Danio rerio: one gene and its partners. The main gene of each other region encodes a partner of the protein of the gene in region 2 in a complex. Links are inferred from orthologs where the notes say so. Each region holds a gene or a part of one and is shown on either strand. Other genes may lie near its edges.

Region 1 (4,220 bases), on a different chromosome or scaffold from region 2:
CAATCGCACAATTATCTCTTATACTGCGCTACATAATAACAAGCTTATACAATTTATTCATAAACATGTTTTCTTATATACATTGCTCCTAAAACATACTATTTGAACGTGTTTTTACATATGGCTTATCAATTTCTTCCTTCAATAACATTCAACTATCATTATATTTGATCCTACATGCTACAGAATAGTTTGTATATTAACATGTATGAACTGAAATGCTGGATTTGCGACGTTTTTAATAAATGTCAAGTAGTGACAGACTTTCACGAGTTGTAAACATGTTTTACACAAACTATACATACTTATTAATGTTTAATATTCCCACATTCATTTAGGGACAACTTGTGACATGTTTCCTATATTGTTTACTACTTTAAATATTCGGTCTGAATCATATGCCTCCAAAACAACATTAGCACTATTTAATTGACCATGAACAATGCTGTACTTTAATTGTCATTTGCTGGGAATATGATTTGACTATTTAGTATTAGTAAAGAATAGTTTTCTGAAATTATATTAAGGAGAAAGTCTGAATGTGTGAATATAAACCAACTTTAAGTTACCCTTAAAACGTACTGTACTATTTGGAGACCAAAACAATTGCTCACTATTTTGTATGCGTTTCTTAATTATATTAATGGGGACATTCAAAAATGCTTAACATGAAGAAAGCGGGGCTTAATGTAACTAAACATCAACCAGAAAACCCCAAATTTCTGTCAAACTGTACTTGTAATTAACCCTAATTACTGTAAAAAGAATGAGTCCCAATTAAGCAGATAAATTGAAAAACATCATGTTAGGCGTTTACTCCCCCATTGGAGTCTATTATAAGGATAAAGCTTAACGTGGCTTAATGTACCTTAACAGCAAGTGGGAGAAACCAAATTTCTATAAAAGTTACAAACACTTTCTGATGTCAAAAGAATGAGCTCTTATTTTAGTGGGTAAAAATTATCACGGTATGCAATTCTCCCCACTGAGTCCATTATAAAAGGAAAACGCTTAACATGGCTTAATGTATACCTCAACAAGTGGGGTACACCAAAAATCTATCGAATACTTGTGATTAACACTAACTACTATCAAAAGATCAAGCCCTTAGTCTGTAGATAAAGCGGACAATGTTGTTAAGCATTTTATCCCCATTTCAGTCCATTATAACAGCTTAATGTGGTTTAACTTAACATCTAGAGACAATCAAATTTCTATAGATATATATTCATGAAAAACACTTACTGCTGTAAAAGAACAAGCTTTTATTTTAGTGTATCAAGTGAGCAATATCACTTTCAGCATTCTCCTCACAGAAGCGCATTATAAGGAATCAGCTTAACGTGGCTTAACATATCTTAACCCAGACCAGGGAAACCCAAATTTCTTTACTTGTGATTAAGACAAACTATTTTTAAAAGAATGGGCCTTAATTCCACAGATAAAGTTAACAATATCACGTTAAGTGTTTTCTTCCCCGTTGAAGTCCTTAATAAGGAAAGCTTGACTTAAAAACAGAGGGAAACCAAATTATAAAAAAGCTGTTCAAAAAATCTAACTTAATTTATTATAGATTAACCCTTTGCTGTCAAAAGAATGCACTTGTGCATGTCATTGACATCCCCACAACAACATAGGGAAAAACGCTGTTCACTTAAGCTGTGGAAATGGGGCAAATTTTTAATTTTTTTGCTATATAGTTAGTGCTAACCACAAGTAAAATTTGATAGAAATTTGGTTCCCCCCACTTGTTGTTGAGGTACATTAAGCCACATTAAGCTTTTACTTATAATAGACTTCAATAGTGGAGAAAACGCTTAGCGTGATATTTTTCACTTATGGAATTGGGACTCTGTCTTAACAGTAGTTCGGGTTAATTACAAGTAAAGTTTGATCGAAATGTGGGCTTCTCTGGTTGATGTTTAGGTATATTAAGCTATTGAGGCAAAGTTGGTTTTATATTCGCACATTCTTTCAGTGACAACTTGTGATACACTCCCTATATTGTTTACCATGCTACTTTATATATGAAGTCTGAAATCACATGTAAGTATGACCTAAACATTAGCATTATTTAATTGACTGAGAGCAGCGTGTACTTTGAAAGTCATTAGATGCTAATATGATGTCCCTAATCAGAATGTGCAGTTCTTAGCCAAAATTATATTATTAAGGATAAAGTCTATAGTATAAAATCAACTTAACCTCAATTATTAAGCTTATTTCATGCGTTTTAGAATCTCCCTTAATGATATTACTGTTGTCATTTTGAATTAACGAGAAAACTTGCCCCATATAGTTGCTCACCTTGCTTTGAAATATGCCTTATTAGCTCAATAATTACTCGAAAATAGCTGGCGTAATGTTGTTTATTGGTTAGCAGGCTAGTACTAAACAGATGACTAGTAAAACCGATCTGCGCTGCACCTGCAAAACGAAAGAATGCGGAAATCACGGCTCACAAACTCACAAACACGCATTTTCATTTATAAAACTAGACAGCTATTGTTTTAACTTTGCTGACACACAACAAACATTAACATTCGGGAATCTTACAGTGTAGTTTCATGTCAAGTGAACACAAATCGCGCTGTCAACAAATATGCTTCAGTGAATGAACTTTGCGCTTGCTACTTTACTGACTTCTCTTTTAAACTACCCTCAACAACTATTTACGTAAAGTCTGCACACATGTACAGTTTATAAATACGCATCGTTTACTTTAATATGTACTTTGGTTGTTCGGTTTACCTGGATTTCCTGAGTGAAACTCCGAGCCCTCAGCTGATTTCTTTGACGCGCGGGTCACGTGACTTCTGTTCTATCTTCCGTGTGCGTTCAGAAACATGTAGTAGATTAGTAATGTACTTGACGCATATACTAAACTATTGAGTTTATGTACTATATGTTTAGATCGACAAATACTAGGCAGATGTCTATTATTATTAACTTACCCCAATTAAAAAAGTAAAAAAAAAAAAAAACTAGCCTACATAACAAAAATAAAGTAGACTTTAACTTGGTTTCCACATGGGTAATAAGTAGCCTAACCTTACTAAAAAGAAGTATACTTCACGTTCCTTTTTATTAAGTATAGTTAGTTAATATTGATATATCTTAAGCATACTTCACATAAACATTTATGTAGGCTACTAGTAGTATAGCTATGTGGTTCCCAAATTGGGGTTTGTGAGACAATGAGGGTGGGTTGCTTGGTGATTTCTCTTTAATATATGTTATTAAACTATTAGAATAGCCATATTTTATCCATAACTTACAGAAGATAAACATGGTATTTAATAGTTAAATAAAATAACAGCATGCAAATAAAAAGCCATCAGCCTTTCAATTCTTTTCCCATTGGATTCCAACCCCTGGGGTTATTACACTAGATTAATGGCACAATGTTAAACTCTGACACCTTTACGGCACGCGTGTACATAAAAAATAAAGGCCACGACTACACATAGAGGACGATCCCCAAAATTAAACCAAGAATAGTCTTGTGCTGCAAACAGTGTGCTCACCGTTGTCATTAAGTGAGATTAATAGTAAATTAAATATTGACAAAAAAAATTATTTATATATATATAAATATATATATATTATATATGTCGCTGCGAGTTACTGAAAGTTAGCGTCATAATCTAACGTGCTAACCACTGGACCACAACAGTTGTATATGAAGGACTGACTCATCTGACTAATATCGTCATTAACCTGCAGGCTGGTCATATATAAAAAGAGCAGAGCTGCGGTAAAATGATGAATAAGAAGACTGTAGTCAAGTAAGTAAATAAATTAATTTAAAAAGTGTGACTGCTGAGAGCAACAGATTCTAGAGCTAGGGACACCGGCCCTCGCGGCCAAAAAACGCACCGGCCCACCGGGAATTCTCCCGGTCCTCCCGATTAGCCAATCCGGGCCTGATACACACACACACACACACACACACACACACACACACACACACACACACACACACACACACACACACACACACACACACACACACACACACACACACACACATACATACATACATACATATATATACATACACACACACACACTCACACACACACACTTACACACACACACACACACACACACACACACACACACACATATATATATATATATATATATATATATATATATATATATATATATATATATATATATATTTAATTATTTATTTTTTGTGTGCACTGTTTGTA
Region 2 (4,173 bases):
GGCCCACATTTGCACCTACACATGTGAGCCACTTTGAGTTTAGACCCAGATTACCCTCTAATGACTATGCCAAATTTTTGCCAAATGTGGCCCACATTTGTCCTCTATCATTTGGGCCAAATTGACCATTTTCCACATGGGCCACATTAGGTTCACATTCAGATTACATTTTGCCATAAGTGCCAAATCTTTGCCTTAAATGGTCCTTATATTAATTGGAATCTTGGCCACCTTTTGTCATTGTACAGGTGGACCACTTCAGGCTCACGTTTATTTTGTCTGGCCCGAAAAAAGACCAACAGTGCAACATAACTGCCTAAAGGGGCCTACATTTGTATGCTATCTGGGTGTTGTTGATATTCAGGAATTTTTATACTTTTTTTTTTTTTTTTACCAAAGAGGCTAGAAAATTTCTAAAGAATTCATTATTATCGTTTTATTATTATTATTATGTTTTAATTATAATTTTTATTAAAATGGCCAAATTGTGACTGAGGACAGTTGAATGTGCTGGCCAGTTTGTTTTTTGTCTAATAAATGATAGTGGGCTACTTTTTTTTACTTTAAAACTTTAACAGATTGCTATTTTTTCCTAATGATAAATGATGTAATAAATTTGTATTTAAAAATAGTCTTGTTTTAATTTTTCTTTATTGCATTTTTTCAGGAAATATTTTCAGTACATCAAAAAGTGTGATTATGATAACATCTGACTAGCTAATCCAGCAAAAAAAAAAAAAAAAATTTTATATATATATATATATATATATATATATATATATATATATATATATATATATATATATATATATATATATATATATATGACTAAAATGTAGTATTTAAATCTCATAGTTAAATAGAAACTGAGGTGTATAAGTGCAAAAAAAATCCACTTTTTGAGAAAAAAAGAACCACCCCTTTCACCAGACTGGCTACGGGCCTGAAAGGGCTATTTTTTACTTTTTTTTTTTGAGTAATATTTACATACTTTTACTCTACTTGCACTACATTTTGGGCAAGTAATAGTATTTTTACTTGAGTATGATTTTTCTACATTTTTTTGAGCAATATTTACATACTTTTTCTCTACTTGCACTACATTTTGGGCAAGTAATGGTACTTTTACTTGAGTATGATTTTTCAACAATCTTTCCACCACTGCTCGTTTTTTTTATGTAGACTACAGAACTCGTTAAAACATCCATATCTTTAAATTGCATCGCAAACCTAGTGCTTTATTTCACAATACAAACCTAATCACATCAAAATGATTAAATCAGCACTATCTACCGTACAGTACCAACAAACAGCTCGTGCGCGCGCGTGTGTGACGCAATGCAGACATCTCTTCGTGGTCGCCAGTGAATGACGAAACGCGGAAGACAGTGACGTTTGTTGATTTCTGGATTTACACACACCGGCGCTATTTTGATCAATCCTAGCATTTCAGACATGTTTGTAAGGCAATGAAAGTGCTGTTTATGCCACTGTGGGTTAAAGACGTCAAAGAGAGGAGCACGAGCGGCTGTTTGTCCGTCAGAATCTCAGGTAACGTACATATAGCGGATGATGATCGATCAACAGATCATATCATCGACTTCATCTGATTTCATCAACAGTATTTTATCATCAGACTAATGTCACGTAGACACTGTTATTTTATTATTTTTCGTCGTTTTGATGTCCTATAGACTAGTCAATAATAACTACAACTAGTGCGATTATTGTATAGCTTTATAGAGGTAAAGTTGGTTTTATATTCGCACATTCGTTCATTTAGCAGTCTGTATATTGTTTACCATGTTACGTTGAATATTCGATCGAAATTAGCTTGCAAGTATGTCTTCAAAACAACATTTAACATTATCTAATTGATTGTGGACAATGTTGTACTTTGCTAGTCACTGGCTGCTTTTATGATTTTCCTATTTAGAATTTGCAAATACTTTAATGACATTTAAGGAGAATGTCTGAATATCCGAATATAATTATAAAACCAACTTCACATCTATTATAGCTTTTACTGTACGTTATTTCAGTTATTAACTTTTGTGAAATCGTGTTGCTTGTAATTTACGCAAGTCATGTTATTAACTGTGTCTGATATGCATGTATACAGTAAGTCAGATAAACTAAAAGCTCACAAATCCATATATTAATATCAAAACATTGATAGTTGCCTGTTGCATAATATAGAATAATATATAAAATAATACATTTGATTTGTAATGCGCTTTATACTTAAAGCGCTACAGGCAAAACACTAATACACAAGGCAAACAAAACAGCACAACAATAAAAGATACAATAAAACAATAAAAATATGAAGCATAAAATAGAAATAAAAAGTTAAACAAAATGATCATCCTAAGTTAAAAGCTATGCTAAAAAGGTGAGTCTTAAGAAGTTTCTTAAAACAGTCCAGAGGCAGCATTTCTAATGCTGATGGAGAGTACATTCCAAAGCTTAGGTGCACTGTGTGAAAAAGCCCTCCCACCCATGGTCTTGAGTTTACACCGTGGCTGATGCAATGTAAGTCTGCAGAACGAAGACTGCAGGCTCCGGTGGCGAGGGTCAACAGGTTGCAGATGTAACTGGGTGCTAACCCATGCACTGCTTTAAAAGTTAAAATCAAACCGTGATTTTACAGGAAGCCAGTGTAATTGTTGTAGCACAGGAATAATGTGGTGGCGTGATGATGTGTGTGTTAGAACCCGTGCAGCGGAATTTTGTATATATTGTAGTCTTCTGAGAGAACTTGCAGGTAAACCCCCAAAAAGTCAGTACAAAGTACAAAAATCAAGACGTGATGTGATGAAGGCATGGATAAGCCTCTCTGCATCAGAGAAATGGTCTGATCCGTGCAATATTGCGGAGATGAAAGAAGGCAGTTTTTTATATCTTCTGTATGTTCAGAAGATTCTGTATACGGTAAAAAGCCCTCCCACCCATGGTCTTGAGTTTACACCGTGGCTGATGCAATGTAAGTCTGCAGAACGAAGACTGCAGGCTCCGGTGGCGAGGGTCAACAGGTTGCAGATGTAACTGGGTGCTAACCCATGCACTGCTTTAAAAGTTAAAATCAAACCGTGATTTTACAGGAAGCCAGTGTAATTGTTGTAGCACAGGAATAATGTGGTGGCGTGATGATGTGTGTGTTAGAACCCGTGCAGCGGAATTTTGTATATATTGTAGTCTTCTGAGAGAACTTGCAGGTAAACCCCCAAAAAGTCAGTACAAAGTACAAAAATCAAGACGTGATGTGATGAAGGCATGGATAAGCCTCTCTGCATCAGAGAAATGGTCTGATCCGTGCAATATTGCGGAGATGAAAGAAGGCAGTTTTTTATATCTTCTGTATGTTCAGAAGATTCTGTATACGGTTGAGGTAAAGTTGGTTTTATATCCCCACATTCAGACTTTCTCCTTAATAATATAATTTTAGAAAAGTATTTTGTGCAAATTCTAAATGGTGAAATGCTAATTTTGATTTAAATTCATACGTGCAATTTCACACTGAATACTCCATTCTATTACCATGTTAAACAATATAGGGAGCATGTCACTAGTTGTCAGTAAACGAATGTGCAAATTTAATAGCAACTTTACAGTGTATGAACGCATGCCTGGTAAACAGTGGATAAAAGGTAAAGTCGGTTTTATATTCGCCCATTTGTTCATTGACAACTTCTGACATGACCCTGTATTGTTTAACCATGGTGTTCGATGAAAAATACAGACTGTGGAATGTGTTTTTAACAGAAATATTTTGTAAACTGAATTCATGAATGTAAAATGTTGAAAACAGCAGATTACTGGCAACCACAGCGGCTGGTATTTTTCCGTAAAATCAAAAAAGGAAGAAAAAAAACAGCAAAACGGTTTTTGTGTCACCATTGTGGAGGTTAGTAGCGTCTGTGTTCAAGTCCAAGATGAACTAAAGAGTATTTAATGTTATGCTGCATCTTCTTTTGTTTAAAGGTGACTGTGTAGTTACTAATGCAGTCAAAATCTGTTTGCTAGTTGCAATCACACGTGAACACATTATTGCATTTAAAGACTTTACATTTTTGTGCACTAAGCTATGATTTTGTAAACTAAACACTGTATTAGTTCATGGTTATATTTCGTACATTTATACAGTTCTATAAAACTTCCATATTTTTCACA
Region 3 (4,280 bases), on a different chromosome or scaffold from region 2:
CTTTGAAATATGTAAAATAATCGATGAGCTTACGCGCTTCTTTGATGATGTACAACCAAATTATGATAAAACGTTATAATATATGTATATATTTGAAATAATACATGTATATATTTTATGTTTGAGTGAAACTAAACTATTCAAAATAGCATTGTCGCTCGTGATTAGACAGTTTCATGCCAGTTTTTCCCTTAATAAACGATTACCATTTATTTAATTAAATAATTATATTTTAAATTAGTTAAATATAAAAACTAAAAGAAATATAAATGTAATTGTTTAAAATTATGAATATGCTTTGATATCTGTGCAACTAACAAAAGACAATTTATGAGTTATCTGTTTATGCATAAAATAAACAAAAAAAATAATTAAAATTAAGCTTTAACTATTATATTACGAGTTACATCAAAAATTCTTCGATTTTTATTTATTATAACCTAATAATATAATTTATTAATGTAACCTTTATTATAATGTTATTATAACCTTATTCATTATGTAATTTATAAATGTAACCTTTTGCATTATTATTAGGCAAAACGTTACCTTTAGGTAAAAGATTTTAAAATTATGCAATTCAATGCATATATACTGTAAACCTAATTTATTATTATTATTTTTTTAGCAGTATAAGTAAAACAAAACACTAAATTTAATGATGAATTAATGATAAAATGTAATGTCAAACTGCTTTGTATATTGTTTACATTGTAAAAAGGGCTAAAGAATTAAAGATAAACTAAATTAACTGAAATGTACTTCATAATTTTTTCTTTATTTTTCAAGAAACCCTTAGTGTTACTGTATATTTTAGTTCTTTTTTTTAAATTCCTTCTACAGTGCGGAGCACCAATTGGCCACAAATTGTCATAATGTTGGCCCGCAAAGGTCTTTTGCCTGATGGGTTCTTGTTAACGCGACTCGCTGAAGATGCACAACCCAGCCGCATCCGGCCAAAGTCACAAAGGGCACGTTTTATCACCAAGAGCGGCTCATGTAATGTAGCCCACAAGAATATTCGAGAACAGGTGAGATTTTCCTATCAGTTCTAGGCTAAAGAAAAGTTTCAATTGACTCAGTTGCAGTGTTCATAAGAGATTATTGCTTCTCAGGGTCGGTTTCTCCAAGATGTGTTCACCACCATGGTGGACCTGAAATGGCAGCATTCTTTGCTCATCTTCACCTCAGCGTTCCTCTGCTCCTGGATGCTCTTTGCCATGGTGTGGTGGCTCCTGGCATTCGCTCATGGAGATCTAGAACCTCGAGATCCCAATGAACCCGGACCTGTGCCGTGCGTCACATCCATTCACTCCTTCACTTCTGCTTTTCTGTTCTCCATTGAAGTGCAGGTAAGGATCAATCTGGATAGATATGACTCTGTTTCCATCTAGAATTATTATGACATGCATTTTCAGTAATCTAAATATTTTAGACTCCGCATACATTTTTATTTAATGTCATCCACTTGTGATTGGACTGACTGAAACGTAATACTAGTTGTCAAAACTGAGGGAGAATAAACAATGTAATATTTTTGGTAAACTATACCTTAACAGCGCTGAACAGGATGTGAAGTAGAAGTTGACGTCAATCTTCTGTGGAGGCGGGGCTTATCCACTCTATTACATCATAGAGTAGAACATTCAAGAATCTGTTATCTTCAGACTGCCTTCAATATAATCTGTATTTAGAGGAACCACAAAGTGTTCAGTTCTAAAACTTACAGGATATTTTTAGAGAACTATGAGCTCTTATATGTAAAAAAAAAAAAATTAGGTGATTTTTAGGTTTCACAGTTCATGACCCCTTTAAATCGTCTGTAAGATAATGAAGCATTTGTAATACCAGGTAACTATTGGTTTCGGAGGACGAATGGTGACAGAGGAGTGTCCGCTGGCCATCATAGTCCTCATCATCCAGAACATTCTGGGCCTGATCATCAACGCCATCATGCTTGGCTGTGTGTTCATGAAGACAGCTCAAGCCAACCGCAGAGCAGAAACCCTCATCTTCTCCCGCAACGCAGTCATTGCCCCAAGGAATGGCAGACCGACATTGATGTTTCGTGTTGGAGATCTGAGAAAAAGCATGATCATCTCTGCCAACATACAGCTGCAGGTGACAGATGTGTTTATTTCTTTACTGATGTATTTAAATCATTGAAGAACCTTAACATCCACAGAACCTTCTATTAGAGAGTTCTTCATTTTAGTCCTTTAGATCAGTGTTTCTCAACCACGTTTCTTTGAGGACCACACGCTTTGCACATTTTCCATGTCTCCTTAACCAAACACACCTGATTCAGACCGTCAGCTCATTAGCAGAGACTGAAAGACCTGTAATTGGTTTGACGGACAAAGGAGACATCCAAAACATGCAGTGTTGGTGGTCCTCCAGGAACGTGGTTGAGAAACACTGCTATAGATCTTTAATATGTCCTTCAAACTAAGGTTATTTAATCATTATTTTATCACCAGGTTCAGACAACATAAAAGCAAGGCATTTGATGTCAAAATGATGGCAGATATGTAGCTTTAAAGATAGTATAAATTCTGCCTTAAAGGGACAGTTCACCTTAAAATTAAAATTCTGCCATTACTTGGCAGAATGGAAATCTATTCAGGCATCTTGAATGCAAGAATTTAGAAATTCGACATGGAGAGTGATTTTCATACACATTGATTATCATAACAAACACAAATTATGTGAAGTGTGAGCCAAAAATGCTTTATATATCATGTCTGTACCAGATATTCTTGAGTTTGATTCCATCCTGATCTTGATATTTGCTCCTCAGGTTATTCGGCGGACAGTGACAGCGGAGGGCGAAGTGATTCCCGTCTGTCAGTTAGATATCCAGGTGGAAAACCCTCTCAGGAGCAACGGCATATTCCTCGTCTCTCCACTCATTATCAGTCACACCATTGACAGAGGGAGTCCACTGTACGAGCTCTCAGCGCAGTCAATGGCTACCGAAGATCTGGAGATCATTGTCATTTTAGAAGGTGAATAGAGTCTACTTTCCAGTACTGGGTTGTGGCTAGAAGAGCATCTGCTGCATAAATCATATGGTGGAATAGTTGGCGGTTTATTTCCCTGTGGTGACCCTTGATAAATAAGAGACTAAGCCGAAGGAGAATGAATGTTTGATTGAATAGAGTCTGCTTAATGTAATTGTTTTGTTTAAAAGCCAAAGTATTTTTAAGGGATTATCATAGATAAGCTCTCTAATATGTGACCCTAGAGTACAAAACCAATCATAAGTGTCAATTTTGGGAAATTGAGATTTATACATGATCTGAAAGCTGAATAAATACATTTGTCATTGATGCTGAGATGCAACTATTTCAAAATCTGGAATCCGAGGGTTTAAAAATATCTAAATATTGGGAAAGCTGCCTTTAAAGTTGTCTAAATTAAGTTATTAACAAAGCAGGCCTGTAGCCAGGGGAGGGTTTCAGGTGGTTCAGAAGACCCACCCCTCATTGACAAAGGCCCATAACTACTATGTCATAATAAGTTGTGAAAATAATCCATGGAAAAAGGCTTTAACACCATGTGGAATCCTGTGTTGGTTGTTGCGTCAGCATGACTGAGGAAAGTTGAATGTGCGGGACGGTTTGCTTTTTATGTTAATGATATTTAAATAACAATAGGCTAAAGTTTTTAATTTAAAACTTTAACAAATTCCTATTTTTTCTAATGATGCAATTGATGTATATGATGTAAATGATAATTGATGTAAACCTTAACATCAAAAATGTGGTTATGATGACCATCAAACAAGCTAATCCAGCAAAAAAATAGTGCTTAAAATGTTACAAAAATGCAACTTATTTTAACCTCATAATTACATAGAAAAAAATTAGGCGAATAAATGCAAAATGGTCAACTTTTTAAGAAAAAAGATCCACACCCTTCACCAGGCTGGCTACAGGCCTGTAATGCATATTACTAATTGAAAATTAAGTTCTGACATAGTAGACTCTTATTAAGAGTATTGTCTTAATCTTATTAATGTCGGACTATTGGTGTCCCTGTTAACATACTCTACTTCTAATGCCTTATCTGTCATAATTTTAGGCTTTCTAGAATATTTTACTATGAAATTTTCACCGTATTAATGCCACTTATTTTGGAATTACCTGCAAGACATTTTTATTATTGATAATAATGATTACACAATGCTTTAAAACATGTTTACCTATTTTCTCAGTGTTTGCTGAAGAATGTAAAAAATTACCTTAAGTAGGACTGCACGATATTAGAAAAATCTA

The links. The genes of interacting proteins can lie anywhere in the genome.
Region 1: sybl1 (region 2) and stx7l share a complex: the UniProt entries of both Homo sapiens proteins name them as parts of the SNARE complex. The link is inferred for Danio rerio from reciprocal best matches to the Homo sapiens genes VAMP7 and STX7.
Region 3: sybl1 (region 2) and bet1l share a complex: the UniProt entries of both Homo sapiens proteins name them as parts of the SNARE complex. The link is inferred for Danio rerio from reciprocal best matches to the Homo sapiens genes VAMP7 and BET1L.

Annotation. Positions count from the first base shown.
Region 1 is NC_133195.1:49,559,274-49,563,493, reverse strand, and holds the start of stx7l (syntaxin-7), read right to left. Parts: upstream 2,801-4,220; 5' UTR 2,752-2,800; intron 1-2,751. UniProt on the Homo sapiens protein: May be involved in protein trafficking from the plasma membrane to the early endosome (EE) as well as in homotypic fusion of endocytic organelles. Mediates the endocytic trafficking from early endosomes to late endosomes and lysosomes.
Region 2 is NC_133189.1:9,609,540-9,613,712, reverse strand, and holds the start of sybl1 (vesicle-associated membrane protein 7), read left to right. Parts: upstream 1-1,373; 5' UTR 1,374-1,551; intron 1,552-4,173. UniProt on the Homo sapiens protein: Involved in the targeting and/or fusion of transport vesicles to their target membrane during transport of proteins from the early endosome to the lysosome. Required for heterotypic fusion of late endosomes with lysosomes and homotypic lysosomal fusion.
Region 3 is NC_133200.1:8,372,459-8,376,738, forward strand, and holds the start of bet1l (BET1-like protein), read right to left. Parts: upstream 2,801-4,280; 5' UTR 2,751-2,800; intron 2,122-2,750; coding exon of another isoform or gene 1,852-2,121; 5' UTR 1,849-1,851; intron 1,685-1,848; exon of another isoform or gene 1,623-1,684; 5' UTR 1,552-1,622; intron 1,391-1,551; 5' UTR 1,353-1,390; coding exon of another isoform or gene 1,116-1,352; intron 1,032-1,115; coding exon of another isoform or gene 876-1,031; exon of another isoform or gene 844-875; intron 1-843. Other genes in the region: kcnj11l (potassium inwardly rectifying channel subfamily J member 11, like), read left to right, coding at 876-1,031, 1,116-1,352, 1,852-2,121, 2,801-3,008. UniProt on the Homo sapiens protein: Vesicle SNARE required for targeting and fusion of retrograde transport vesicles with the Golgi complex. Required for the integrity of the Golgi complex.